Ovis aries: one gene and its partners. The protein of the gene in region 2 purifies or fractionates together with the protein of the main gene of each other region. This does not show direct contact. Links are inferred from orthologs where the notes say so. Each region holds a gene or a part of one and is shown on either strand. Other genes may lie near its edges.

Region 1 (4,119 bases), on a different chromosome or scaffold from region 2:
GTACTATTCCAAATACTGAAATAGAATAATTTATAATTTTTCTTCACAATTATAAAGAAATTAGTAAAAAAAAAAAAAAAAGTTGTAACACAGGAACTTCAAAATAACAGAAGTGCAACTTTTTACAATACCTAAATTTAAAAAAAAGTTTAAGAGAACTTTGAGAACAGACACTTAAAAGTTATGATGATTGAGAAGACCTAATTGAGTAGAAAAACTATCAGGACCTTCAAGAATAAAGTGCTATTTAACAGGGAAGGTATTTCACAAAGAATTTTTAAATTATCCTTCTATGTGCTACATATTATTCAAAAATGTTTAACATTTTATGAACTACTGTACACCTCACAACCTAATTCTATCCTCATTTTATAGACCAGGAAACAAAAGCAGTAAAGAAGTAAAGTTAAGCTGGTCTATAGTGTTACCTATTGAATGGGTTTTAGAAATTGGCCCCACCAATATAAAACTGTACACTACTGTGCACCCACCTTAACACCAAGAACCAAAAACAAACCAGAATGTTCAATAGGTCAATATATCAAAATTAAATGCTCTATCTTTAAGGTCCTAAATCTCCTCTCAAAGAGTGTGTTTTCACATTGTAATACCACAAGAATCATACCTCAATTTGATGACAGATCTTGGCCTCCAGAGCAGCCATTTTTTCATTATCACCATTTTCAGCCATTCTGGCTAGCTGCAAAAATTTCCAAATTGGCATAAAAGTTATTTACCTTTTACAGAGAACTCAAGACTTTTAAAAGAATGTTTTAATTATCAATATCCCACTATTTTCCTAAATAAAAAACAATTTTACAGGTTCAATTTCTCTACTCAATTTTCTAATTTCAACAAAAGAAAAATTTTGAAATAAGTGATGAAAAACTATCAACGATCCTCACTTCTTTCAGTCAATCATTGTTCTATCCTCTATAACAAAGTGAGTGGGTCATCTTCATTTAGCTGATCCAGAAAGCTCTGAGGGAAAAAACTCCATGCATTTAAGCATGTCAGTTGTCAATATCATGGATCTGTCTTGTTTGGTGTGACTGAATTTCTTAAAAATCAGCCACAGTTGATTTACTAAAAACAAGATTATGTTATCAAAACTTTTGGGTGAAACAAAATTTTAAAAATGTTACACAGCGTTGAACAAATTAATGCTAATATTAAGGAATATATGAAAATGCTCATTTGAGAAGCTGAGAACACTAAAACAACATTAAACTGGAGTATGCCTACTATTTGGGCTTCTCAGGCGGCACCAGTGGTAAAGAACCCGCCTACCAGTGCAGAAGACAGCCCGGGAGAGCATGGCAACCCACTCCAGTATTCTTGCCTAGAGAATCCCATGGACAGAGCCGCTTTCTGGGCTGCTGACCATAGGGTCACAGGGTCGGACATGACTGAAGCTGGCTGAGCACGCACATACACATGCCTACTAACATGGTTAACCTTACAGCCACATTCCTGTTTCACATCACTCACAATAACACTGCAAGAAAATCGTGTAAGTCTGTGAAGTTGGTTTGCTAGGACTAACAGTCTCCTGACTTCAAATTATTTGCTTCTAGTACTCCATTAAGCCATCAAAACACACTGTATAAAAGTATATTTAGAATAATTCATCAAGGCTATCTGCCATTAGTTAACTCTAGTGATACACATGTTGGAGGCAACCCTTTATAACTTGTAATTACCATGCAATAACATGGATGCACACTGGAAGTTCTCCTATGGTGCAACACCTTACTAACAAAATTTGGTCAATCTTACGCAATGGGTTTTCCACCACGATTCCTAAGTTATTACCGTGATATGTTGTTGTTTAGTCGCTTAGTCGTGTCCGACTCTTTTGCGATCCCATGGACTGCAGCCTACCAGGCTCCTCTGTCCACGGAAATTCCCAGGCAAGAATACTGGAGTGGGTTTCTATTTCCTTGTCCAGGGGATCTTCCAGACTCAGGGATCGAACCAGCGTCTCCTGCACTGGCAGGCGAGTTTTTTACCACTGAGACACGAGGGAAGCCCTACTGTACTCCAGAGCCTTCTATAAAGAAAAGGGTGACATGAAAGAACTATTTAGTCCCTGCAACACTTCTTTGGCCTACTCAAAACTGGAACTTCATCTCATGAGATACACTCTTAGAATGTACAACTGAAACATTACCCAAGTTTTTCAGTTTCGCTCAGAAGCCCTGATGTGAGTGAATAATGACCGTTAAAATCCAAGAGAGTGACGCCATGAGAACATCTGTGGCCCCGATTCCCTGACCCCAGTCTGCCTCGTATGATCCAAGAAACCCTTCTGCGTTTAACCCACATCAACCTCCCCGGAATCTTATACAGCCCAACCAAACATTCGCTTTCGGCGACACTGCAAAACGGTGAAGATACGAAACCTTAAAGACGCAGTGGGGATGCAGGCAGCCTGCGTCCAAATAATCCGCCACAGCCCGTCCCAAAGCAACCAATTGGTCGCCTGGGCCCCAGCCACGTGCGAGGAAATCCTCGCTACCGCGAAGAACGCAGAATCGACTCCCCATCTCGCAGCGGCCCGCGCCCCTTAGCCCCCAGCGCAGCTTGCCACCACGGGCTGCGGCCCACGCGGCGCTCGCCCGGAACGCGAGGAAGGCGAAGAGCGGACGCACCCAGCGTGAGGCAGCAATGAAAGGGACGCGCCGTCGCGCAACACGCAAAACAGACCCTTTTGTACTTTCTTCTCTTTAGCCACCTAGAGTTGCTCACCTTTCAGTTCCTGGCCCCACTGAGACGCGCCACAGGGTCACCAAGTAGCGTCTGCACTCCTCTGAGCCACCGGCTTTCCCACCTCACGTAAAGAAGATGGGGGCCGTCCCGGCAACCCTTGCGGTCAAAGTGGGCGGGGCTTCCGGCGCACCCGAGCCGGCTCCGCCCTGTGAGCATGCGCCTCTGCTGCAACCTCCCAAGGTCTGAGAAGTCCTGCGCATTGTTTCGGTGAGATTGAGTTACGATATTCAGCAGCACTTTGGAAGTGTTAGGGTAAATATTTATTTTTAAGTATTTCTGGACAGCATTTGTATTTCCAGACCTTCCGTGGGCTCTCCATTCACATGAAGTGGTTGACTGTACTTTTAAAAAAAATTGTTTTGATTATCCGTAATAGTTAACCCATTTTTTAAAAATGACAAGTAAAACATTTCATTTTTTAAATGAAAAATTCATGGAATCTTAAAGTTGAGGGGAAAAAATATAGTAGAGACTTTAGGAGCTGGAACTCTTGAAATCAGACTGCCAGCGGTCAGCAGCTCTCCAGTTTACAGGCTGTGTGACTTTGGGAAAGTTACTCAACCTCTCTATCCTTCATATATAAAATGGGGCCAGTGATAACTATATTACACTTTATATAGCTGTCGTGAGTATAAAACATGGTACAACGTATACCTTTTGTCGGGAACTGTGCCTGGCGTATAATAATAGGAGCAGCATCAGTTCAGTTCAGTCGCTCAGTCGTGTCCGACTCTTTGCAACCCCATGAATTGCAGCACATCAGGCCTCCCTGTCCATCACCAACTCCCGGAGTTCTCCCAAACTCACGGCCATCGAGTCGGTGATGCCATCCAACCATCTCATCCTCTGTCGTCCCCTTCTCCTCCTGCCCTCAATCCCTCCCAGCATCAAAGTCTTTTCAAATGAGTCAGCTCTTCGCATCAGGTGGCCAAAGGATTGCAGTTTCAGCTTCAACATCAGTCCTTCCAATGAACACCCAGGACTGATCTCCTTTAGGATGGACTGGTTGGATCTCCTTGCAGTCCAAGGGACTCGCAAGAGTCTTCTCCAACACCACAGTTCAAAAGCATCAATTCTTTGGCACTCAGCTTTCTTTATAGTCCAACTCTCACATCCATACATGACCACTGGAAAAACCATAGCCTTGGCTAGATGGACCTTTGTGGACAAAGTAATGTCTCTGCTTTTGAATATGCTGTCTAGGTTGGTCATAACTTTCCTTACAAGGAGTAAGCGTCTTTTAATTTCATGGCTGCAATCACCATCTGCAGTGATTTTGGAGCCCCCCAAAATAAAGTCAGCATATATTAATCTAAAACAAGAAACGTTTTAAGAGACCAAAATGCC
Region 2 (3,091 bases):
TCTTTGCACGTTTGCAACTGTCCTAAATTTCAGCTGCAGAATCAAAATTCAGCAAGAAGCCTCTCCTTGAAAAATATTGGCAAATTCTCAGCTTATAAACAATGGACATTTTGATTGCCATGTTTATCTCGATAAATACTGTACAAAAGTTGCTTGCAAATATTAAAACATTTTTTTTCGTCGCTTGGAGACTAGCTCTAAATATTATTGGTAAAGACTTTTGCAAACTTTCTGCAAAGCTCCTACCGTATCACTAGAACTTTTAAAAAGTTTTGCGTAGTTTTCTTTCCTCCAGATCTATACAAGGTCCATTCCCTCGCCCTCCCCACCTGCCCACCCCAGGTTTTCTCTGTACAAAAATAGTCCCCCCAAAAGAAGTCCAGGATCTCTCATAAAAGTTTTCTTGCCGGCATCGCGGTTTTTGCGTGAGTGTAGATGGGACTGGCGTTTTCTTTTGCAGCTGTCATTTGCTGTGGATGATTTTTTTCTTTTTTTTTGAGCGTACCGGGTTTTTCTCCATGCTGTTTCTTGCTGTCCTCCATTTCCCTCTTTTTCTTTGAAAATGTCTCCCCCGCCCCTTCCAGTTCACCGTCCGGCCCTCACATGTGCGAGAGGGGCAGTGTGCCGTTAATGGCCGTGCCGGGCACCGGGCCGCTCTGGTAGTGCTGGGACATGTGAAGTCTGCTGGGGGCGGCGGGCTCCGGCACCTCGGCGCCGGGGAGGTACATGCTGATCATGTCCCGGAGGTCCCCGGCTTGGCAGGGCGCCCTGGAGTGGGAAGAAGAGGTAACCACAGGGGGGCTGGAGCTGGCCTCGGACTTCACCACCGAGCCCATGGAGCCAAGCGCCATGCCAGGGGTGCCCTGCTGAGAATAGGACATGCTGTAGGTGGGCGAGCCGTTCATGTAGGTCTGCGAGCTGGTCATAGAGTTGTACTGCAGGGCGCTCACGTCGTAGCGGTGCATGGGCTGCATCTGAGCGGCGCCGTGCGCGTTGAGGCCCGGGTGCTGCGGGTAGCCCAGCTGGTCCTGCATCATGCTGTAGCTGCCGTTGCTCCAGCCGTTCATGTGCGCGTAGCTGTCCATGCGCTGGTTCACGCCCGCGCCGAGGCCGGCGCCCACCCCGACCCCGCTCGCCATGCTGTTGCCGCCCGGGGCGAGCAGCCCTCCCGGCAGTGTGTACTTATCCTTCTTCATGAGCGTCTTGGTTTTCCGCCGGGGCCGGTATTTATAATCCGGGTGCTCCTTCATGTGCAGCGCTCGCAGCCGCTTGGCCTCGTCGATGAACGGCCGCTTCTCTGTCTCGGACAAAAGTTTCCACTCGGCGCCCAAGCGCTTGCTGATCTCCGAGTTGTGCATCTTAGGATTCTCTTGGGCCATCTTGCGCCGCTGCCCGCGGGACCACACCATGAAGGCGTTCATGGGCCGCTTGACTCGGTCCGGGCTGTTCTTCTGGTTGCCGCCCGCCGCCGCCGCGGTGGAGTTGCCGCCGCCGCCGCCGCCGCCCCCCGAAGTTTGCTGCGGGCCCGGCGGCTTCAGCTCCGTCTCCATCATGTTGTACATGCGGGCGCTGTGCGCGGGCCCGGCCCGCCGGCGGCCGCCGACCCTCGGCCCGGCCGGGACTTTGGGGGGCCCGCGGGCGGGGGGGAGAGGAGGAGGGGAGGCGGGCGGGGGTGCCGGGAGCGCAGGGCTCCGCGAGGAAAATCAGGCGAAGAATAATTTGGGGGAAGAAAAGAAAGAGAGAGGCAAACTGGAATCAGGATCAAAAAGCGCTTCCCTCCTCTTCTGGCCGATCCAGCCGCCGCCGATGATTGTTATTATTATTTTTTGGAAAGGCTTAAGCCTGGGGCTCAAACTTCTCTCCCTTTCTTTCTCTCTCTTCTTCTTTCTCTCAGTCCTAGTCTTAAAGAGGCAGCAAACTACTTTCCCCCTTTTGCAAACACTCTCTTCTCTGCCTTGACAACTCCTGATACTTTTTTGAACAAGTTAATAGACAACCATCCATGTGACGGGGGCTGTCAGGGAATAAATGGGTTTCCAGCGACCAATCAGCGCGCGGCGGCTCCTCCACTCGAGCCCAGCCTTGCCGGCGGGTTTTGCATGAAAGGGGGCGGGGCCTGCCGCGCCGCCGGCCGCGCGGGGGAGGCGGGGGGAAGGCGCGGGGGGGAGGGAGGGGGAGGCGGCTCCCACAGCCTGCCTGCCAGCCACTGAGAAACCTTTGTATCCCCTCTCGCAGCAACAGGTCACACCACACGCCTTTTCGGAGGAAGTGGGTAAACAGCCCTAAGACTACGATATTTTCTTCTTCAAACTTAATCTTGAATTTACTCTTTGGTGCGGGCTGCTGAAATGAGGAGGAGGGCGCGAGAAGCTGAGGTGGGGGTGGGGGCAAGGCAGAGAAGGTGGCTCAGTGAGACTGTCCCAGTAATATTTCGGGAAATCAGCCGTGCTGGAGTTGGTGTGTCATTGTTCTCCCGCTCCTCCGCACACTTCCCCCAACTCCAGCCGCTCCAGCGCTTCTCCCTAAGCTGGCTTCTCCGCTCGCCCTGCTCGCTCCACGGGCACCGACACTCGCTCGCCCCCTTCTCACACTGTCCCGACAAGAAGTTCTGTCCTCAAAATCTTCTTGCTTCCACGTAATGTGCTCTCTCTCTCTTTTTTTAAAATAAAGCCTGCTCCGACTGTGCGGCTGCCTCCAGAGCTGAGGTCAGACCAGGCCTGTGTGAGCAGCCGAATCCACCCTCTTCCCGGCCCAGCTCAGCCCGCGGGGCAGGAAACCACAGGCTGGTCCTCACCCTAGCCACAGCTCCCACCCATCTTCCTCCACTCAGTCCGTGCAAAAGGGGACGCTCGTCCTCTCTCCCCATTCTCCTGAGCTCCCCGCCCCCACCCCTCCCCTGCCCCAAAGAGGGATCTCAGTGGAGCCGGGTTCCAAAGGGGGGCTGGGGGGAAGAAAAAGATCAACAGAAGGGCCCTGAGAAGTGCAGCCTATGGGGGAGGGTAGTCTCAACTTCCTGGCATCCCCCGGCACTGCTTGGAGGTGGCTTTTGAACCGCACTCACAAATTCCCTCCCACGCAGAGTTCCCAGGAC
Region 3 (4,085 bases), on a different chromosome or scaffold from region 2:
AATTCCTTGTACTTTCCTTTAAAAAGTAGATTTAAAGGTATATTAATTGTATTTCAATAAAGCCATTATAAAAGGTTCTTTGTACTAATGATACATGCTTATTCTTTAAAACAGATGCTCTGCAACAGAGCCAGTAGCTTCAGTGAAATAACCGTAACAAGGTCTTATTCCCCTTCTCTCGTAGCTCAGCTGGTAAAGAATCCACATGATGCAGGAAACCCTGGTTCGATTGCTAGGTTAGGAAGATTCCCTGAATGGACAGGCTACCCACTTCAGTATTCTCGGGCTTCCCTGGTGGCTCAGCTGGTAAAGAATCTGCCTGCAATGCCGGAGACCTGGGTTCGGTCCCTGGGTTGGGAAGATCCCCTGTTGAAGCAAACTACCCATTCCTAGAGAATTCCGTGGACTGTACAGTCTATGGGGTCACAAAAGAGTAGGACATGACTGAGCAACTTTCACATAGTTCACTACTACAATCCAGAAATCTGGATAGAACTGAAAGAAAGACTACACTGTACAACTGTTTTACAAACCTTTATTGGAAAGGCTACAAATTTTGCATTGCCACTGCATTGCTTTCCCTTAGTGTTGTGGGGGAAGTAACCTTGGATACAAAACTGCTATGCTCTTGCAGCTTGCCCCGGCTGGCTGTGAAAGTCTTTGTGCAATGGAGGTAGAGTGGATAGGGCAATAATTTAAACCTCACAGGCCTTGATCAATGTCAGGACTTTTTTTTTTCATTCAGGTTCTATAAGACCTAGAAATAGACTGCAAGTACTACAAATAGGCTCAGGGATGGCATAATACATTAAAAATGTTTAATTTTCAGTTTTCTCCCATTCGTCTTTTACAAACGTTTCTACAACTGATCTATTTTTTCCCTAAAATAAGTGTGTTCTAAAAATATCTACTCTGGGAATGAAAAGATAATAGAAGATGAAAAAACAGTATATCCTTTCCATAGTAGTTTTACCTGATTTTTCTCATACCAGCCTAAGAGTCTTACCTTTCTGTAAAACAACAGTAATCAATGCTTCCCCCAGTCTCAAATATTCAACTTAATGGAGACAAGAGAATCTTTAACTTAACATTTAATGAAAACAGAGCATTTTAACAGGTTCTATGCAGACATGGTTCTAATACTGATTTGCTGTTACCTTATTTTTTTAAACAGAGTGGGGTGGGGAAATACAGAGGCCAGGTTAACTTGGCCCCTATACTCAGGACCATGAGTTATATAACTTAGATGTCCTTGACTCTACAAAGCATTAATTGAAGCCAATAAAGCCAGTTTCTACCAATGTATCAAACTTTCTCTAGTCTTTTGAAACTATAAAATGGGCACGAGCCTGAGGCATAAGCTTCAGGCCAATGGGTTTTTAAACACTGTTTAAGAACCAGAACTAGGATACATTCTCCAGTTTAAGGATAGATTTTACAGTTCAAATTATGTCCTTGTTTAAGGAAAGATTTTACAGTTCATAATATGTTCTTTCTAAAAATGTGAGACAAAGAGTAATTTACACCAACTGCTTTTTATTATTCAGTTCCAGAAACCTTTCACAAGATGGTAAAAAAAAAAAACCAAAAAAACAAACCAAAAAAAAAAACAAACAAAAAAAACAAAACAAAAAAAACCAGGTGGGGCGGGGGAGAAAGAAAGAAAAAGAAACATCCCCCAACCCCGCCCAAAACTTTACAACCACAGCTCAGCTAATGATATTTTCTCCATTGTTCCCAGTCAGCTCCAAACCCATTGTGTGCAAAGCCCATTTTCCCATGCATCTAAATGATAGATACAGGCTATGAAATTCTTTATTCTATTTGTAGCAGCTTATGCAGGTGCAGCCAAACACAAAGCTTCAGGACAAACTGTACACAAACTTTACAATGTGGGAATTGAATTTAAAATATGAAACATAAAATCTACACAAAACTGATAAAAATCAAGCACAGATATCAGGACTGAAACTTATAACCCATGTGTGAAAGGGAGTCTTGTTTCCTTTCAAGTGCTTTATTCTGCTATAGAACAGTCGAAATGAAGATGTAAAGCTTTGTGGTTAGTTTAAATTATACACTCTGTAGATACTATACCAATTTTAAAAGTTACACATAGACCAACAGATGTCCATCAGTTCATCTGGGTTGACCAGACGCTCCAGCTGGATTGCAGAAAACAAACCAGGCCAATGTGGAAAGAAACTCCCCCTGTGCAATCTGTTTGCAGAGTTTACTGATGGGCACATTGCACTCCTGGTCCGTGATGGCTACTGCTTTCCTCATCAGAGCTATCATTATAGGCTTCACGCCTCTGGCCGCCTCCTGAGCCCCGAGTGCTATCGAATTCTTGAAGCTCTACCTCCTCGGTGTCTCCAATAATATTCGGAACTTCTGGTCTAGATGGCAGAAGATCTTCTAACTCCTTCATTAAAATGAAAAAAAATAAGATGAGCTTGAAGATTATTATCTACTATCAATTTCCCTTTTGATAAAATCCAAGGTGTATGTCTGACATTTAAAATCTTTGCACTTTAAGCCAGAGATCACAAATTGATGACCCACAGACCAAATCTAGACATCTTTTGTGCAACCCATGTACTGATTAGAAAACAATAAACAAATTTAACCGCTAACATGTAAACACTGGAAAACTTCACATTAGACATGTCTTCCTGCATGAACAACCAGAAGATGCTAGGCTGGGGTAAGAGATCTGCTCTCCAGGGTCACAATCCTCCTACCCCCACCTCACGCAGTCTGCTTATGCCTTCACTAGTCCTGACTTGGCCCCATAAACTTTTACAGCAGCTATTTCCACTTTAAAAAACAATGAGGCCAGACCTTCAATCACTCAAATTAATAAACGATGTGATCTAATCTTAGCACCCAAAACAAATGGAAAGTGACAAAGAAACAACTATTATTAAACTTTAAGTCATCTGTTGCCTAATACTTACAGAAAGTTTATCTGGGTTGATCCAGTTGTTTTCAGGAAACTGCACATCAAACTTTATGTAAAGATCACCTTTTTCAAAGGGATTACGATATTGTGGCATTCCTTCACCTCGAACTACACGAACACATCCTATTATTTCAGTAAATAAATAGGGGAAGATATTAAGAATTTTACCCAAGCAAGTGCTCAATAATAAATGCTTTTTGAGAGTCACCCAGTGTAGAAGATTACATAGAATCTTAGATCAGACAAAAATCAAGATTTACCTGGTTCAATTACTTTGCCAGGGGGATATTTCACCACAATCTGACGTCCATCAAGGTGCTTAAATGTGAACTGAAATCCACAAAGAGCTTCAACAAGTCCTATCTTATATGTCATGTGCAAATCATTCCCATCTCTCTGGAACACCTACAAATGAAGCACACAAGAAATATCGAAACTATGGAGGCATGCTCTGTTGTGCTGTTTAACTTGAAACAATATCAAAACCTTAATTCTACCATTTACTGCAAAAGTCAAATTGCCACCATCCCTAAGTTCCCTAAATTTATCAATATATATAAGGAAATCTAGCTATTCTCAAGTAATATGCTAGAAACTTCGATCACAAAAGAATTGGAATTGGGAATACAATGGCTCATAAGGCACAGCTGAAGCTTAAAAAACAGAACCAAGTATATCTTACAATTATGGCCCATTTCTGAACCATGAGGGAAAAGGTGTACAAGACCCAGTGGGATTCTGTAGAACAGGTTCACCTGGAATTTCCTCCAGACATGATTCTAAGAGGGGAAGGGGAAGGCCTAAGCTCAACTGAAAAAGCTCAACCAGTAAAAGGGCTCAAACCCAACACTTCATTTAAGTATGAACAAGTTTTACCTAACCTAAGATACAAAACTTGCTTAGGTGAATGTAAACCAAATGCTAAAGAAAGTTGGCTTATTAATGCACTATAAGCCTATGGACTATGTAATGCAAAGGTTATTCAACAAGCATTTTAAAAACTGTTTCTGAGCATTCAACATGCAGGAAAAAAATACATCCAACTTCACATATGCCCAACTTCTGCTTCTTAGAATTTTCAAATATCTATACTAACTTTTAAAATTTAACTTGAAATAAA
Region 4 (3,226 bases), on a different chromosome or scaffold from region 2:
GGGTGTCTCAACCCCCAACCCAATTGCTCCCCAGATCCAGTTGGGGGTGAGGGGGCGGCCTCCCTCCACCCCCTAGGTCCACTGTCTAGGATCCAGCCCCATCTCGCTGGACCCAGGAGCTCAGACTTGGAACTCCTTCCCCTTTTAGACGAGGGAATCTGGGTCTTCAGCCGCTCTTCCCTCAGACTCTGACCTGACTGCTCCGCCTCAGTGTCGTCATTATCTTCCTGGGCCCCTGGTGAGGCTGGTTTGGTCTCTTCTGGGGTTGGGGGTCTCTGGGGTGAGCTAGGTCCTGCTGCCTGAGGGGGCTTGGCTTTGGTCTGGGGGCGCTGAGGAGGGAGGGTGGGTCAGGGAGGAGGGAAGGGGCAATGAGGGTGTGAGTGTGTGCCCGCAGGAGACAGAAGTAGAGAGTTTGGGGTACCGTGTCCCCCCGACTCCACCCTCCCCCATGCCGGGCAAGGGGCATGGACCTTTCGGGGAGCCTTGGGGGCTTCATTCCCACTGCTGCCGCTGTGAGAGCCCCCCTCGTCCTCGCTGCTCGAGCCTGACCCAGCCATGAGGTACCTGGAGGAGGGATCGGGCCTCAGACCAACAGCAGATGCGTCCTCCAGGGGAGGTGGGGAGGGGGCTTAAGAAGCAGCAGGCGCTTGCATTTACTATCAATAAATAAATCCTCAGGGTGCAGACGTGGTCTCCCTCCTGGTCTACCCCTTCTCCCAGCTCCAGAAGGGCCCCGTGGACCTTCAGCCACCCACACCATTGACCACAGCAACCCCTGGCTTCCCCTCCGAGGGAAGAAATGTCTCATTTCAGAAACAAACAAAAAAAATCAGAAATAATTCTCTCCGGCAAGCATCAAAGTCAGTTTCTCATTAGGAGAATGCCTACTGATCAAGGGAAAAATCTTGAAAGCAAATTTCCTGTGTGCCAGGCACTGCTGTGAACACTTTACAGGTTCAGAATCGCTGAATCCTGAGGCGGGTGCTATTTTCAGCCCCATTTTACAGAAGAGGAAACGGAGGCCCAGAGAGATGAATCAAGTGGCCCCAAATCACAGGGCAGAGTGCGTACGCAGCAGAAGCGAGTGAACCTGCTGGGCATGCTGCCCTGGCCCCCACGTTAAGACCCTTCTGCACGTGATACGGTTGCTTCCAACCTGGTGACGCCCTTTTCGGGAAAGTCACCCTCACTGTAGAACCAGGGCTCGTGGGAAAACTCAGAAGGCTTAAAGTGCTGGGGGCCTTCCCCGGTGGTCCAGGGGCTCAGACTGCTAAAGGAGCCCCACTTCCCAACAGACACCAGGCTGAGCCAGCCTCGGCTCCTCTGCCTCAGCTCAGCCTGGCGAACCTCTTCTCCTTGAGGAACCCTGGCTCACTGCAGTTCTCCCTGTGGGCCCTCCTCCAAAGTATTTCACAATAAGTCTGGCCCCTCATCAAAGTCAGAGGCTCTCGAAAGGAGGGACCGATGTCTGGGGTCCAGCGGTGGGCAGCCCAGCCTGACACCACACAGGGGTTTCAGACGAATGAATGTCAACAGGTCGCAACACTTCATTCTCCGCCCTGAGCCTTTGTGAACGCTGTTTCTCCAGCCTGCAGCCTTTTCCTTTGCTAAGCAGACTTCCCAGAGCCCTCCTGGGACCCCTGAGGATACCCTCCCTCTCCTCCCCATCTCCCAGCCCTGCCCCTCCTCCTCTGGGAAGTCGGCTGACTCCCGAGCTGGCAGGCCACAGCCTGATTTCTCCCCAGATCCCTGGCGCTGCTCGGCACAGGGATGAGGGGCAGGGTCGGGGTGGGGTGTGCGTGTGTAAAGCACACGTGTGCAGAGAGGCCTTACCTCCGCGAGGGCAGCCGCCGCCGCATGCGGTGACAGTCCAGCACCCACTCTTTGCGCACGATTCGGCCTCCGAGGCCAAGGACCTGGCTGTACTTGGGGGTGTTGGCAAAGGCGCAGCTGGTGGGGAGCAGAACGGAGGGCAGACTGAGCGGCAAAGGCCAAGAGACAAGGGGCATGGGAGAGAGACAGAGGGGAGGAGGGAAGAAAAGAAAGAGAACGAGAGGCAGAGGATGCGGAGAGGCGAGGTGACAGAGAGCGAGCAAGACGGAGCAGATGGAAGAAGTCGGAGAAGGCGCAGCGGGGAGTGAGGGGAGGGGACGCCGGCCTACATGAGGTGCGTGCTGTCTGGAGTCCAGTCCGGTCGATACTTGGCCCCCAGCTCAAGGGCCTTGTCCCGGAGCTCCGAGCGGAAGGGGTTCTGGAAGCCACTCAGCACCACCACCACACCCTGGAGGATCTTCCCCAGCTCCTGCGGGCCTGCGCGGGGGGCCTTGGGCTCAGCGCCTTCTCCTCGGAGCTTCTCTGGTGCCGCCCCTCGTGCTGGGGCAGGGGTGGGGGAAGTGGCTGGGGTACGGGGGGGAGCTGGCACTGGGGAAGCCAGACAGTGGATTCAGTTAGAAAATGTAGGGCTACACGCCCACCTCTCCTGTCTCAGACCCAGGAGTTCAGGCTCCCCAGCCCCTCCTCTCTCAGACCCAGGAGTTCAGACCCCCAGGCCCTCTTCCCTCAGACCCAGGATCCCTTGCCCCTCCACACCTGGACCCTCTGTGGGAACAAGGAATCCAGTTTGCTCACATTTGGGTCTTTTGAGGGCAGGTACTGAGGGCTGAGCTGATGGTTTGCTGGGGGTCTTCTTTTCTTCTTGGTTCAAATCCAGCTTCCTCTTGCCTTTGGGGGACTCCTGAGGCTGAGGGGGTGGGTTGTGCTGAGGCCTCCAGCTCCTCTCCTCCTTTTCTGCCCCCCCAGGGTCTGGTGATCTCACCTTGAAGGTGCTGCCTGCTGCCTTGGAGGCTGGGGAGGCTGAGGAGGCGGCACTGGAGGCCTGCAGTGTAGCCGCTGCATAGCTGGGTCCTGCCGGGTCACCGGCTGCCACTGCAGAGGGGGATAGTGGATCCAGGATGAGGGGGCTGGACCCTCAGGCCTTCGGGCTCCTTTCTATCCATGGGTCACAAAGTGTTGTTCCCAAGACCCAGCAGTGACCCAGGGGTCCAGGCCCCAGCCCCCACTCCCTCAGGCCCAGGATCCAGGCCCCCAGCCTTTACTTGCTCAGGACCCAGGCTTTCTGGAATCCTCACCTGGGGGTGTCTTGTTGATACGACTGAAGAAGAGAGCCCCGGGTTTCAGGGAGCTGGCACTCTCATCCTCCTCTTTCACACGGAACTGGCCGAGCTTG
Region 5 (4,246 bases), on a different chromosome or scaffold from region 2:
AAACTGAGGCTCAGAGACGAGGCAGAGGGGTGCCCGAGGCAGCCTCGGGGGCCTGGGAACAGGAAAGAACTCCTGGAAGTGAGGCCTCCTCCAGCGGACCGCCACTTGCTCTGCAAAGGAGTGAGAGCAGCTTGGCGCCCTCTCTTAGAGCTCAGACCCACTGCCCGGGCACAGCGCACCCAGCTGAGAAGAGGAGGAAGCGGGAACCTGCCGGTCCCGGAGATTCACCGCCTGTCACGGCACTTCCTACACTCCGAGAAGGACAAGCAGAGAGAAGGAGCGCGGTTCTGTAGCTGAAGCCACATGGGTCCTCGCTCACCCCTTGAAAGCTTCTCTAGTGGACGGCCTCTCCTCTCCAGCAGCATCCCTGCAGGATGACCGTGTCCGGGTTCCCAGTAAGCTGGCATATTCCCCTCACTTCCCCCCGCTACTTTTTTACTTTATCTCTTAACATATTTGACTTAAAAAAATTATTTAGTTTTAATTGAAGGATAATTGCTTTGCAGGATTGGTTGGTTTCTGTTGAATCAGCCGTAGGTGGACCCGCGTCCCCCCATCCTGAGCCTCCCTCACACACCCTACTGTTCTGAAGCCCAGATGAAGCTGGAAAGGGCTGTCTGGGGTTGAAATGGAAACTATGGTCACAGGACAGGGCTTCCCCAGCACATAGCCACCAGCAAATGGAACCCCCCCCCCCCCCGCCCAAGATGGAGCCAGGGCAGCCCCCTGACCCCCCAGCTCTAACAGACTGTCCCTTCAACACAGACCCTGCCCCCCTACTCTGAGTTCTTAGTTTCTCAGAACTCCGGGAAAATTGAAAAAGCAGTCGAATGAACAGGTGTCTTCGCCTCCATTCGCCAACTGCTGCTGCCCCTCAGCTCAGTCTTTCTTCCTTTTCCAGTTTTTGCTGAGCCATCTGAACGCGGGTTACAGACATCCTGACATTTTGCCTCCAGCTGTCTTAGCACGTATGATCTCATAAGGAAAGCTTCCTCGTGTCGAACGTCATCACTCGTAAGAAAAGAGACGTTCGTGCAAGAACGTGATCTAACGTGCAACTGAAGGGGGCCAGAGTCACCCTGGCCTTCCCAGGCGGCGCTGGTGGTGAAGAACCCACCTGTCAATGCTGTGGGTGAAGAGTAAGAAGAATGAGAGTCAGAGGTTCGATCCCTGGGTCGGGAAGGTCCCCGGGAGGAGGGTGTGGCAGCTCACCACAGCATTCTTGCCTGGAGACTCCCCAGGACAGAGGAGCCTGGAGGGCCACAGTCCATGGGTTGCAAAGAGTCAGACATGAGCGTGCATGTACCTAGAGTCAGTTCAGCTTTTATGGGGCCCCCGCAGGGATGGAAGTTGCTTTCTTCCTGTTACTCTGTCTTATGTCAGTTTAACTGTTAGACTGGCCAGAGTCTAGAAGAGCAAGGAAAGAGTTTCCTCCCCAACAGAGTCCCCAGCTGCATCCACAGCGTCTCACTTTGTTCTGACGTCGAGGAGGAGGAAGACTCCCAGCCTGTCCGAGGGAGGCCTGGCGTGGAGTGGAGTGGACGTGGGGCAGCAGGGACGTCCCGGGGCCGGTGCCCACGCAGGGGTCACCTCGGGTCAGTTCCCCAGCCTGGACAGAAGGCCTGCTCCCTCTCGTTCCCGAGTCCCCCGGCTTCGAGGGGACCACTCTCTGCAGCTGCACCCAGCACCTGTGTCTTCTGTGCCCCGTGCCCTGGAAATCAGGCCCTTTGGAAGTAGACCCTCCCAGGCCTCTCCTCCCTGGGGACGTCCATCAGAATCACCGTAGCCCTAACCCTCCCAGTACTGGCTACCCCTCCAGCCAGCACCCACAGCCCCATGCCCAACCCCCAGTGCCTTCCAGGGTCTGAAGCACAGAGTAGGTCTCCGCAAATGTTTATGGACTAGATGGGTGAATGCGTACTGACACCTTCCTGCACCCAGAGGCTGGAGATGGTGGTCCAGGAAAACCTTGGCCCAGAGGGCTCGCTCCAGCCGGAAGGATGCTGACGGCCAGCCCGGGGCCCAAAGAGCAACCTAGGGGGCCAGGGGCAATTCTGTAGCCAGAGGGCAGGCTCCGAGCTCCCTGGGTGCAGGCTCCAGGCTCACAGTCCTGCCAGCCATGGGGGTGGGGGCGTCAGGCTCAGGGGACTGAGGCCCTCTGGGGAATACTGGCGCTGAGGGGCGGGCTGCCTTTCTGTGACCCTGCCCCCCAGCAGTTCCCTGTGCTGTGCAGGCAGAGGAGGGCCACACAGACGTGCCTCAGTGCCCGGGTCCCCGGCCCGCTCCTGTCCTGTGTCCCGTTCACCCTCTGATGGACTCGGGACATTGCCTCAGCAGCCAGCTCGGCCAGCGGTCACCCTCCGGGAAGGAGAGGCCTTACTGTGCTCCGGGGTGGGAAGGAGAGGATGCAGGCAGACCACCAGCCGCTCAGAGGTGCTTAGAGGTGAAGCTTCTCAGGCTGGGGTTGCAGGAGCCCCCAGGGCTCTGAGAGCTGGGCCCCAAAGGCCCAGCAAAGGGACCCCACCAGGGGCGCGTCTGCATGCCTGCCGACGTCTCACAGTGAGCATCAGCGGCGTTAGCCATCCACGCGGGCCTGCGTTTTCCAGAAAGAAGGCAGGCCTGGGAGCCCGCCAGCCGCCCTCACTTAGACACCGCCCGGCTCTCAGACCCACAGCCGTCACCAGGATGACCCCAGGAAACCTCACACCGCTCAACAGATGAGGGGGTCAGCTCAGGACAGCCACCCGCGAGGGCTGAAAGTAAGGCGGGCTCTCGTCTGTCTGAACTGCACCTTTTTATCCAGAGTGAAGGCGCTCACGAAGCCGGGAAGCCCGACGGCTGCGTGGTCCGCCCGCCGGAGTCCCGCTGCTCCTGGGGTCGTTTCCGTTTCCGGGGGGCGGGCGGCTCGCCGCAGGCTCCAGGCCCCTTCCTCCGGGCATCAGGAGCCGGAAGTCTCGCTCACCTGACCTGACCGGCGAGCAAGCCCGCGGCCGCGCCCAGGTCTCTGGTTGCCGGGCGCCCGCTGGCCGCGGCCCACATTCCTTCCATTCTATCTGCACCCACGTGGCTCTTGGCGCCCTTACAGCAGCCGGACGCCCCTCGTCTTTCCAGCCCCTCATCACTTGGCAAGCAGTCCCGGTATTAGCAGGATTTGCGGGTCAGAACGATAGAGGCAGACGAACCAGATCCAACTGGCCGGGGTTTCAATCCTCCCAGAGCTGCAGCCGCCTCTGGAAGGGGCTGTTGGCCAGCGTCCCCGTGGGGCACGGGCGCGCTCCAGCCACCCCGGGAGAGCCGAGGCCCTCCGCCAGCTGGTGGGCCCCCTGTCCTGCCGGGGGGCGGTTCCTGGTCCTTAGGGACCCCGGGCTCGGGGTGGAAGCCTCAGTCCCGCTGGGTCAGCAGCTGACTGTTTCCAGGGAGATCTGGTAGAAACTGCCCTGCCCTGCCTCCACTTTCCCCACTTTGTTCCCTAGAATTAAGCCTCAGGGTCTAGGTTCTTGGCCATTTAGAACTGCATGCTGATTACAACAAAGTGAAATAAGTGTAACTTCTTACGTCTGTTAAGATCAGAGAAGATTTTGGAGTGATGGGAATTAATTCTTTTTCCCCCCCAAAGTTGTTTTAATTATACTACTCCCTGGAAAAGACCCTGATGCTGGGAGAGATTGAGGGCAGGAGGAGAAGGGGACGACAGAGGGTGAGGTGGTTGGATGGCATCACCGACTCGATGGACATGGGTTTGGGTGGACTCCGGGAGTTGGTGATGGACAGGGAGGCCTGGCGTGCTGCGGTTCATGGGGTCGCAAAGACTCGGACACGACTGAGCGACTGAACTGAACTGAACTGAGAATGGAGACAGCATCCCAGTCCGGCTCTGGCCAGTGGGGCGAGGTGAAGGGTAAGGTGGCAGACTTCCAGCACTTTCTTTAAGATGCCCCAACCTCCTGGAGCAGGGCCCAGATCCCCCTGCCCCGGCCCCCGGCCTGCCCCGTCCTGGACCCCCCCTCTCCTCTGCCTCGGGCCGCGTCCTGGGCAGGCACCAGGTCTCTCCTTTCTGCCCACTCCTCCTGATGAACATAGCAGGAAGTACTCCGGAATCCCAAGAAAGTTAGGATGGGAACCTCCCTGGTGGTGCAGCGGTTAAGAGTCCATGCCTTCAATGCTGGAATGAGGGTTTGATCCGGTCAAGAAGCTGAAGGCCCACATGCTGTGCAGCTGAAAGGAAAGTTAGGACCAAGCTTAGAAA
Region 6 (4,389 bases), on a different chromosome or scaffold from region 2:
GCGAAGAAAACACCACTCTTAGAGTCTTAAGAAGTTTGTGCCTTTTTAGTTTAAGATGATATTAGGTTTTCTGGGGGTTAAGAATGAGTTCAGGTTTGGGGAATTATTCAGTGGCCAGTGAGTGGCACAGCCAAAAAACCTCCAGGGGCCTGCGGAATCTGGAAATTCTAAGGTAATGGTTCTGTGGCCATGAAGCATCTATTTACAATATTTAAGTGGGGATGAAACCCTGGTGTCTAATGACTAGCTGACCTAGCATCTCTCAAGGCAGCCCTGGGCTTCGTGAGAAGCCGGTATCCCTTCTGGCCTGTGTAGCCTGTCATGTCAGAGCATTCTAAGTCAGTCAGAGGACAAGGCTGCTGCTGAGATGTGGTGGAGCCTGTGAATCTAGAATTTTCTGTGTATACCTCCAGTTCACTCAGCATCTCCCATTCAGCATCTCTTAGAATGTAACAGTAAACTTTAATGATTCCTTACAATGAAGGATAGAAAAACAAATTTAGGCTGCATCTGTTTTCTGAGTGAGGTGTTAGACTGCACCTTTTCTCTCTTTTTAAGGAGAAAACGGTTCCCTCTACTTGGTCATCCCTCTTCGGCAGAGGTTCCTTTGAACACTCAGGTTCCACCAGTCCCTGGAGTCTCTTCTGTGGTCTGTTACAGTCTTACAGGTACTGTCTTTGGAGACGGGACCTTGGTCATTGTGGGCAAAGGTGGGGCTTGTGTCTTCCTCCAAGAAGGCGGTCATATGTCCCCAAAATATCTTCAGGGGTGACCATTTTATATCGGTTGAGATGACCAGCTTGAATCTCAAACCCATTCTGATGTTCTGATCCCACTGTTGTATATGGCACCACTTTTCTTTTTATTACTATTATTTCTAACGCTAAGTAGACAGGGGCAGCACTGGGGACTCTGCTACTTTTTAAAGTCACCCTCCACTGCCCTTGTCTTTGTAAGTGATAGACTAAGTGATAGGCCGGTCCCCTTCGCTATCTTATGAGTCTGTAAAATGGGGATCAGGAACTTCGTGCCCCCAGGGCCTGTGAGGACCGGCTAATGAGGGCAGAGAGTGGGAAAACGGAAAGTCTGAAACAATGATCTGTCATTCCATGCAGCTTGCAAAGAGGATACAACGTAAAGCTCAGCTGGGTCTTTGGAGCAGGTCTGCAAAAGGCTTTGAAGAAGGAAAAGTGCCGCGGAGATGCTAAGTAGCGGCCAAGAGACCAGGCCCGCTGCCAGGGGGGGTCAGGCCTGGGCCGAGGCGGCCGCGGTCTCGGGCTCAGGCCAATTTTGCAGCCGCGAGTAAAGTTCACGCTGCCCGCGGCGCGAAGGGGACCGACCTGGATAGGGAGGCCAGGAGGGAGGCGGCGCGCAGGCTCCGGAGAGGCGCGAGCTCCGGGCCGGGTTTTCCCCGAAGCCTTCGGCGGCGGCGCTGCCGAGCGAGAGCGGCAGAGCGCTTGCCGCCGCCGCCGCCGCCGCCGCGGCTGGTTCTCTCCCCTCCTCCTTTGTGAGGGGAAGGGAGCGAGTCCGTTCCACGGCCTGCGCCCCGCTCCGCGCTCCGTTCCGGGTTTGCCAGGCGGCCGCGACGGCGCTGGGTAAAATGGCAGTGCTGAGCCTCGTGTCGGAGTGAGGGGGACTCGGAGGAGAGTGGGGCGCTCTAGCCGCTCAGTCCGGCCGCCCGCCCGCTCGCCCGCTCGCCGCCGCGCAGCAGCCTCGGCCCGGCGCCGCGGCCGGGGAGGGGAGGCAGGGCGCCCGGCCCGGCCCACGCTCCGACTCTGCCTGCCGGCGCCCGGGCTGCTGCCGCGCGCCCTCCAGCCCGCCCGTCCCGGGTCCCCCTCCCCCCGCTCCCTCCCTCCCTCCCCGCCCCCTCCCCCTCGCCTCCCTCCCTCCCCTCCCTCCCTCCCTCCTTTCTCCGGCAGCAGAAAGCGGAGAGTCACAGCGGGGCCAGGCCCTGGGGAGCGGAGCCTCCACCGCCCCCCTCATTCCCAGGCAAGGGCTTGGGGGGGAATGAGCCGGGAGAGCCGGGTCCCGAGCTTACAGAGCCGGGAGCAGCTGAGCCGCCGGCGCCTCGGCCGCCGCCGCCGCCTCCTCCTCCTCCGCCGCCGCCGCCAGCCCGGAGCCTGAGCCGGCGGGGCGGGGGGGAGAGGAGCGAGCGAGCGAGCGAGCGAGCGAGCGCAGCGCAAAAGCCGCGGAGCCCCGCGAGGCCCGCCCGGGCGGGTGGGGAGGGAAGCCCGGGGGGACTCGGCCCCGGGGCGGGGTGGGGTGGGAGGGGGGTGAGAGAAGACGAAGACAGGGCCGGGTCTCTCCGCGGACGAGACAGCGGGGATCATGGCCGCGCAGGTCGCCCCCGCCGCCGCCAGCAGCCTGGGCAATCCGCCGCCGCCGCCCTCGGAGCTGAAGAAAGCGGAGCAGCAGCAGCAGCAGCAGCGGGAGGAGGCGGGGGGCGAGGCGGCGGCGGCGGTCGCGGCGGAGCGCGGGGAAATGAAGGCAGCCGCCGGGCAGGAAAGCGAGGGCCCCGCCGTGGGGCCGCCGCAGCCACTGGGAAAGGAGCTGCAGGACGGGGCCGAGAGCAATGGGGGTGGCGGCGGCGGCGGAGCCGGCGGGCCCGGCGCGGAGCCGGACCTGAAGAACTCGAACGGGAACGCGGGCCCTAGGCCCGCCCTGAACAATAACCTCACGGAGCCGCCCGGCGGCGGTGGCGGCGGCAGCAGCGACGGGGTGGGGGCGCCTCCTCACTCAGCCGCGGCCGCCTTGCCGCCCCCAGCCTACGGCTTCGGGCAACCCTACGGCCGGAGCCCGTCTGCCGTCGCCGCCGCCGCGGCCGCCGTCTTCCACCAACAACATGGCGGACAACAAAGCCCTGGCCTGGCAGCGCTGCAGAGCGGCGGCGGCGGCGGGGGCCTGGAGCCCTACGCGGGGCCCCAGCAGAACTCGCACGACCACGGCTTCCCCAACCACCAGTACAACTCCTACTACCCCAACCGCAGCGCCTACCCCCCGCCCCCCCAGGCCTACGCGCTGAGCTCCCCGAGAGGTGGCACTCCGGGCTCCGGCGCGGCGGCGGCGGCGGCCGCCGGCTCCAAGCCGCCTCCCTCCTCCAGCGCCTCCGCCTCCTCGTCGTCTTCGTCCTTCGCTCAGCAGCGCTTCGGGGCCATGGGGGGAGGCGGCCCCTCAGCGGCCGCAGGGGGAACCCCCCAGCCCACCGCCACCCCCACCCTCAACCAACTGCTCACGTCGCCCAGCTCGGCCCGGGGCTACCAGGGCTACCCCGGGGGCGACTACGGCGGCGGGCCCCAGGACGGGGGCGCCGGCAAGGGCCCGGCGGACATGGCCTCTCAGTGCTGGGGGGCTGCTGCTGCTGCGGCGGCGGCGGCCGCGGCCGCCTCGGGAGGGGCCCAACAAAGGAGCCACCACGCGCCCATGAGCCCTGGGAGCAGCGGCGGCGGGGGGCAGCCGCTCGCCCGGACCCCGCAGGTAACACGGCTGGTGGGGTAGGGGGGGCTGTGGCGAGTGGGGCGGGGGGGTCCTGGGAGTGGATGGCGGCGGCGGGGAGCGGGCCACGGCCGTGGGCTACCCCCAGTCTGGGGCCCCCACTGCTGGGGAGCTGCCATTGTCTCGCTCTTTCTCTCTTAAAATGGCTGCCCGTCTGCCTTCCTCTCTTTCCCTCCTTCAGCCTTTGTGTGGGGCTTTCCTTGAGGTGTCTGCTCCCCTCCTCCTCCTCCCCGGGTCCCTTCCAGCTCCGGGGGGTCTTCAGAGGGGTGCGGAGCCGGGTGTGCGGGAAAAGGGCCCGGCCCGGGGTGAGGGGGTGTTGGGGGCTCAGGTTAGGGGTGTAGGCAGCCCTCGGAGGTCGGGAGTTGAGTGAACAGTTCTTTGCTCACCTGCCGCTCCTCTCTGCCCTCCCTACCTTCCTCTAGGCCGGTCCCCATCTGTGCTTTCAAGGAGGGGGCCCCTCGGGCTCGGGGGGACCTCGAGGGAGGGCAGGGGCCTGCTTGGGAGCAGCTAGAGCCCGGCTTCGGTTCACCCTGGGCAGCCCAGGTCGTCTCCTGTCTTAGTCTCCGTCGGCCCAGTGGCCTGGGCTTCTCCCTGGAAGTGCTGGTAAACAGCTGAGTGATTGGAGTAGTAAGTGCAGATTGCTTTGGTTTGGGATTTGAATTATGGAGGTAAAATCCTTCTGTCAAAGCCAGGAGACAGTTGGTCTTAGGTTGACATCCTATCTGTGATCTGATTGGCTCCCCATCTCCTGCTCTTGGCCATTTATAATTGCCTCTGATGTAATGGTACAACAATCCTGATGAGCTCATAAACTTTTACACTCTGCTTTTCTGCCAGTGATAACCCAAACCATCGCTGCCACTATCTGCCTTTTATTCCAGAGCTGAAATTGGCTGT
Region 7 (4,254 bases), on a different chromosome or scaffold from region 2:
TTCCTGCTGGTGATTTATCTCCCTACCCCCAAGAAGGCAGCCAAGCCCTAATGTTCCCTAAGCTGAAGGCTTCTAAGTTTCAAATCTACAAATCAGCAGTTTTTAGGCTCCCAGAAGACAATTTCCAGAAATGCTTTTGGAAAGCGTGGGTTTATTAGGGGAACAGATCCAGAAGGAAAAGGGATGAGAGCAAATGCTTTGAATGAGAGAAGAAAAAAAAAAAAAATCTGTGGGGGGAAGGGTTAGAGAAGGTACCAAGTGTTAGAGTTTATGGAAAGTAAGGACCTAGCCTTCATCTGCATATAGCACCCCAGGATAAGGAGTAGGCTGTGGGAGACTGTCCACTATAATGCCTTGGCCTTGAGAGCTGTGGTAAGGGTCTATCTCTTTGAGCAAGTGTAGAAAGATGATTTACAGCAGGAGGATTAGCACTCACATCAGAAGAAGCCACCCGAATGATGCAACCATCACAGATTAGAGCTGGCCTCTACCCCACTTTTTTTGTGAAAGAAACACAATCTGCAGAAAGCAGTACTATACGCAGAGAGTTAAAATGCTTCACCTTTCAGACGACTTCTCTGATCAACAACGGCTAAGTCTAAGAACCCACTATACTGGAAACGACAGGATACGACTTCTTGGACTCCCTGTTTCGGTCTGGGGCCCTTTTCCTGGCTGGATATTAGGTCCCTGATCTGAACCCTCCCTCTTAGTTTAACTCCTCCAATAGCCTTCAGTCTTTCCACTGACCAGTCCTTCCTCAATGGCCCCCTCCAAGTCTGGCCGCATCTCCACCCCTCAACCCTACGTCAGACTCTCCCTTAGTCGTTCCTTCTTCACTCTAATCTCCCTTGCGCCTCTCACCCTCGCCTTCTTCTGCCCAGTCAGCCCCAATTCCCTCTCCTTCCCCTCCCGCATCCCCCGGGAGGGTCTCCTTTCATTCTTCAGTAACCACTCCCCTCCCCACCCCGCGCCCGACCCACCGACTGAGTACAGGCACCCCCCCTCCACAGCTCAGCCGTTGGAGGCGTGGCCCCGCGAGTAACAGGTCTCCCGCCCCACACTCCGCGGGCTCGCGCGCAGACAAAGACATTCCACAGCCCCCGCCCCCTCTGTGCGCTCGGCCAGAAGAGGGAGGAGACACGTGTCCCGCTAGCGCCGAGTCACGTGGAAAAGAAACGAACGGAGCCCGCGGCCTCCCGCGCACGCGCTCAAGTACCCGGCCTGGAGGGCTCGGAGGGAAAAGGGGAGAGAGGAGGCGACTTCTTCAGACTCCACGGCGGTGCGCAGGCGCCGTGGCCCGACCGGGGACTTTGTTCTCCGCGGAGAGACCCAAGGGCGGTGCCGGTGGCTGGCTGCGCACGCGCGCCGCCTCATTTCCGGTGCTCTCTTTTGCTGGGTCGCTCGGGTCGGCTTCGGTCGCTGTCGCTCCCGCTCTCCCACCCCCGCCAACCGCCGCTCGGGCCGCCGGCGCTCAGGCCTCTGCCGCTACCGCGTCGCTTCCTCGATCCCTTAATCGCACATCTTTCCCAATGCAGCGCCGGGACGACCCCGCCGCTCGCATGAGCCGGTCCTCGGGCCGCAGCGGCTCCATGGACCCCTCAGGTGCCCACCCCTCCGTGCGTCAGGCGCCCCCTCGGCAGCCACCGCTGCCTCACCGGTCCCGGGGAGGCGGAGGAGGGTCTCGCGGGGGCGCCCGGGCCTCGCCCGCCACGCAGCCGCCACCGCTGCTGCCGCCCTCGGCCACCGGTCCCGACGCGACAGTGGGCGGTCCAGCGCCGACCCCGCTGCTGCCCCCCTCAGCCACTGCCTCCGTCAAGATGGAGCCGGAGAACAAGTATCTGCCCGAACTCATGGCCGAGAAGGACTCTCTTGACCCGTCCTTCACTCACGCCATGCAGTTGCTGACGGCAGGTAAGCGGGCCTCTGGGGTCCCTCTGGGTCTCCGGGCCAGCCAGGGGCATGGGTGGTAGCGGCTTTGTTCCTCTTGCTTCCCGTTCCCTGAGGACCTCGGCAATCGTGGACTCCTCTCATCTTCATCTTCGGAAGCTTAAGATTCCACGTTCCCATCCCGGCCCAGAGTGCGAGGGAGAATTTCCAGACGGCAGTGGAGGCCCGGAGGGAACTTAGCCATCTCTTAGCGCAAAGATCTTGATGGATAAATGCCGCGTTCCCCGCCCCCTTGGCCGACCCTTCCTCCTCCCCTCTTGCAGCTGCCCTGCGCTCCGAGTGCTCAGATTCTTCCAGAAAGGAACCTTCATCTCCCCCTTCCCCCAAAGGGGAAGCTTGTTTGATCGCGGGTGGCTGTCGGCGCCTCAACTGAGTGTAGGAGGTGAAGACAGCCTGAGCCGGGAGGGACCGTGAGTGGGGCGGGGGGCGAGGTGAGATGGGATGAGACTGGGGTGCCCTGTCCAGCGCCGCGGCCGCAGGGGCCGGTCGGACTTAGCGGTAACTGGAGCTTGAGTTGCTTGGAGGCAGGAGCAACCTGTGGGAATCCGAGCTTGAGGTTTTCCGAATTATATTTCCGACCTCGGCAGATAAGATGGTCATTTCTGCCTAGCCAGACGTTTTGGATCCCTTTATTTTATAATGTGTGTTGTGCATTCAAGAAAGGGGAAAAAAATAAACCTAGAGACGGTGAAGGGGTGATAGAAGGAGGTTAAGGATGGTTTGCGTGGCATTCCCAATCAGATGGGGAAAAAAATTGACAGAAGTTTGCGTGGCCTCCTCCCCCGCTCTTCTCAGTAGTGAAACAGACGAGGAATAGTAGTCTTTGTTCTCTTGTCTGTAGACTAGCGCTCCTTTTTTGCGCAAAACTAGCCATCATCTAGTCGCTCTGATTTCTCCTGAAAACCGCCTATTTTGCCCTCTCTTCCTGTTAAAACGGTATAATGAGTGTCTTATGATACCTAAATTTTATAAGCAAATAAAAATTCAAAACCTTCCAACACTGAGTGAGTAGTTGGACTCTTTGGCAGGATTGAAATAATGGACAGGCCCTATATGAAAATATCTTTTTCCCTGCGTTTGTTCTCTGTCTCCCAACATTAGAGATCTTTACTTTTAAACAGTAAACAAAGCCCCAGACATTCAAGAATAACATTTAAATAAACTGCTTACGGCTTCAGCTCTGTGCTTTGCTCTTCTATAACACAGTCAGATTGTTTGAAACATTACTGTTCATTGTGTTCTTCTGGCAAACTCTTTGAGGGCAAGGAAAGCTTTTTAAATCTTATTGTCTTGCATATAGCAAATACCAGTTGTTTGAATCTGAAAGCAAGTACATGTAGGTTCAAGAACCTCAGACAATGGTAAAAGTTGACTGGGTTTTATTTTTATTTTCTTGCATCTTCAAACAGTCCAGATTAAATGTATAGAATAAAATAACAAACTTTAGAACTGTAAGGTGTTGACTTGGCTTTGAAATTCTAGCTCTTGACTAGTCATCTATTCTTGGGAAACTTTTTGAATCTCACTAAGCTCATCTGTAAAGTGGGGTGGTGAGTTGTGAGGATTAAATGTTGTATAAAAAGCTCTGGCACAGTTCCTTTTGACCTGTAATCATTAGCTAATAACTTGCCACCAGTTTTCTCCTAGTTGTAAATTCGTGGTACAGATTTAGGATGAAAACGCAAAAATTTTCTTGCTATTCTACGCACATCAGGTGTCCAGTGCTAGTCTAGTCTTTTAAGTAAAATACGATTTCTTAGAATAGCTATCAAAAACTCAATCCTTATAGTGAAAGTTTTAGTTGCTCAGTCATGTTCGACTCTTTTGTGACCCCATGGACAGTGGAGCTTACCAAGCTCCTCTGTCCATGGGATTCTCCAGGCTAGAATACTGGAGTGGGTTGCCATGCCCTCCTCCAGGGGAATCTTCCTTACCCAGGGATTGAACCCAGGTCTTCTGCATTGCAGGCAGATTCTTTACCATCCGAGCCACCAGGAAAGCCTGATCCTTAAATAAAATTTTCACCTCTCTCTTACTGCTTAACTTTTGTCACGAGAGAGCGTGCTTTAATTTTTTTTTTAATTTGAGCTTTTTTCCCCCTCTCACTTTTTAAAAAACATATGTATTTTATTTATTTGACTGTGTCAGGTCTTAGTTTTCACCAATAAGCTTCATTCCTCTGTGGCATGTGGGATCTTAGATCCCAGGGCCAGGTATCAAACCTAGGTCCCCTGCATTGCAGGATGGATTCTTAACCACCGGACCACTGGAGAAGTCCAAAGCTTTTTTTATGTCTCTTTTCTT

The links.
Region 1: the proteins of SOX2 (region 2) and SSB purify together in Homo sapiens (affinity purification with mass spectrometry; 3 studies listed by BioGRID and IntAct, with this or other methods). This does not show direct contact. The link is inferred for Ovis aries from reciprocal best matches to the Homo sapiens genes SOX2 and SSB.
Region 3: the proteins of SOX2 (region 2) and DNAJA2 purify together in Homo sapiens (affinity purification with mass spectrometry; 3 studies listed by BioGRID and IntAct, with this or other methods). This does not show direct contact. The link is inferred for Ovis aries from reciprocal best matches to the Homo sapiens genes SOX2 and DNAJA2.
Region 4: the proteins of SOX2 (region 2) and XRCC1 purify together in Homo sapiens (affinity purification with mass spectrometry; 3 studies listed by BioGRID and IntAct, with this or other methods). This does not show direct contact. The link is inferred for Ovis aries from reciprocal best matches to the Homo sapiens genes SOX2 and XRCC1.
Region 5: the proteins of SOX2 (region 2) and DNAJB6 purify together in Homo sapiens (affinity purification with mass spectrometry; 3 studies listed by BioGRID and IntAct, with this or other methods). This does not show direct contact. The link is inferred for Ovis aries from reciprocal best matches to the Homo sapiens genes SOX2 and DNAJB6.
Region 6: the proteins of SOX2 (region 2) and ARID1A purify together in Homo sapiens (affinity purification with mass spectrometry; 3 studies listed by BioGRID and IntAct, with this or other methods). This does not show direct contact. The link is inferred for Ovis aries from reciprocal best matches to the Homo sapiens genes SOX2 and ARID1A.
Region 7: the proteins of SOX2 (region 2) and KHDRBS1 purify together in Homo sapiens (affinity purification with mass spectrometry; 3 studies listed by BioGRID and IntAct, with this or other methods). This does not show direct contact. The link is inferred for Ovis aries from reciprocal best matches to the Homo sapiens genes SOX2 and KHDRBS1.

Annotation. Positions count from the first base shown.
Region 1 is NC_056055.1:139,780,997-139,785,115, forward strand, and holds the start of SSB (lupus La protein), read right to left. Parts: upstream 2,862-4,119; 5' UTR 2,752-2,861; intron 2,054-2,751; exon of another isoform or gene 2,051-2,053; 5' UTR 1,816-2,050; intron 701-1,815; 5' UTR 692-700; coding exon 626-691; intron 1-625. UniProt on the Homo sapiens protein: Binds to the 3' poly(U) terminus of nascent RNA polymerase III transcripts, protecting them from exonuclease digestion and facilitating their folding and maturation.
Region 2 is NC_056054.1:206,122,392-206,125,482, forward strand, and holds SOX2 (transcription factor SOX-2), read right to left. Parts: upstream 1,563-3,091; coding exon 600-1,562; 3' UTR 527-599; downstream 1-526. UniProt on the Homo sapiens protein: Transcription factor that forms a trimeric complex with OCT4 on DNA and controls the expression of a number of genes involved in embryonic development such as YES1, FGF4, UTF1 and ZFP206. Binds to the proximal enhancer region of NANOG.
Region 3 is NC_056067.1:14,920,765-14,924,849, forward strand, and holds the end of DNAJA2 (dnaJ homolog subfamily A member 2), read right to left. Parts: intron 3,371-4,085; coding exon 3,226-3,370; intron 3,089-3,225; coding exon 2,961-3,088; intron 2,426-2,960; coding exon 2,234-2,425; 3' UTR 520-2,233; downstream 1-519. UniProt on the Homo sapiens protein: Co-chaperone of Hsc70. Stimulates ATP hydrolysis and the folding of unfolded proteins mediated by HSPA1A/B (in vitro).
Region 4 is NC_056067.1:51,467,745-51,470,970, forward strand, and holds part of XRCC1 (DNA repair protein XRCC1), read right to left. Parts: coding exon 3,129-3,226; intron 2,926-3,128; coding exon 2,629-2,925; intron 2,422-2,628; coding exon 2,163-2,421; intron 1,951-2,162; coding exon 1,834-1,950; intron 565-1,833; coding exon 471-564; intron 330-470; coding exon 194-329; intron 1-193. UniProt on the Homo sapiens protein: Scaffold protein involved in DNA single-strand break repair by mediating the assembly of DNA break repair protein complexes. Negatively regulates ADP-ribosyltransferase activity of PARP1 during base-excision repair in order to prevent excessive PARP1 activity.
Region 5 is NC_056057.1:120,185,088-120,189,333, reverse strand, and holds the start of DNAJB6 (dnaJ homolog subfamily B member 6), read right to left. Parts: upstream 2,892-4,246; 5' UTR 2,792-2,891; exon of another isoform or gene 1-2,791. UniProt on the Homo sapiens protein: Has a stimulatory effect on the ATPase activity of HSP70 in a dose-dependent and time-dependent manner and hence acts as a co-chaperone of HSP70. Plays an indispensable role in the organization of KRT8/KRT18 filaments.
Region 6 is NC_056055.1:240,201,249-240,205,637, reverse strand, and holds the start of ARID1A (AT-rich interactive domain-containing protein 1A), read left to right. Parts: upstream 1-1,565; 5' UTR 1,566-2,328; coding exon 2,329-3,474; intron 3,475-4,389. UniProt on the Homo sapiens protein: Involved in transcriptional activation and repression of select genes by chromatin remodeling (alteration of DNA-nucleosome topology).
Region 7 is NC_056055.1:235,469,379-235,473,632, reverse strand, and holds the start of KHDRBS1 (KH domain-containing, RNA-binding, signal transduction-associated protein 1), read left to right. Parts: upstream 1-1,375; 5' UTR 1,376-1,532; coding exon 1,533-1,914; intron 1,915-4,254. UniProt on the Homo sapiens protein: Recruited and tyrosine phosphorylated by several receptor systems, for example the T-cell, leptin and insulin receptors. Once phosphorylated, functions as an adapter protein in signal transduction cascades by binding to SH2 and SH3 domain-containing proteins.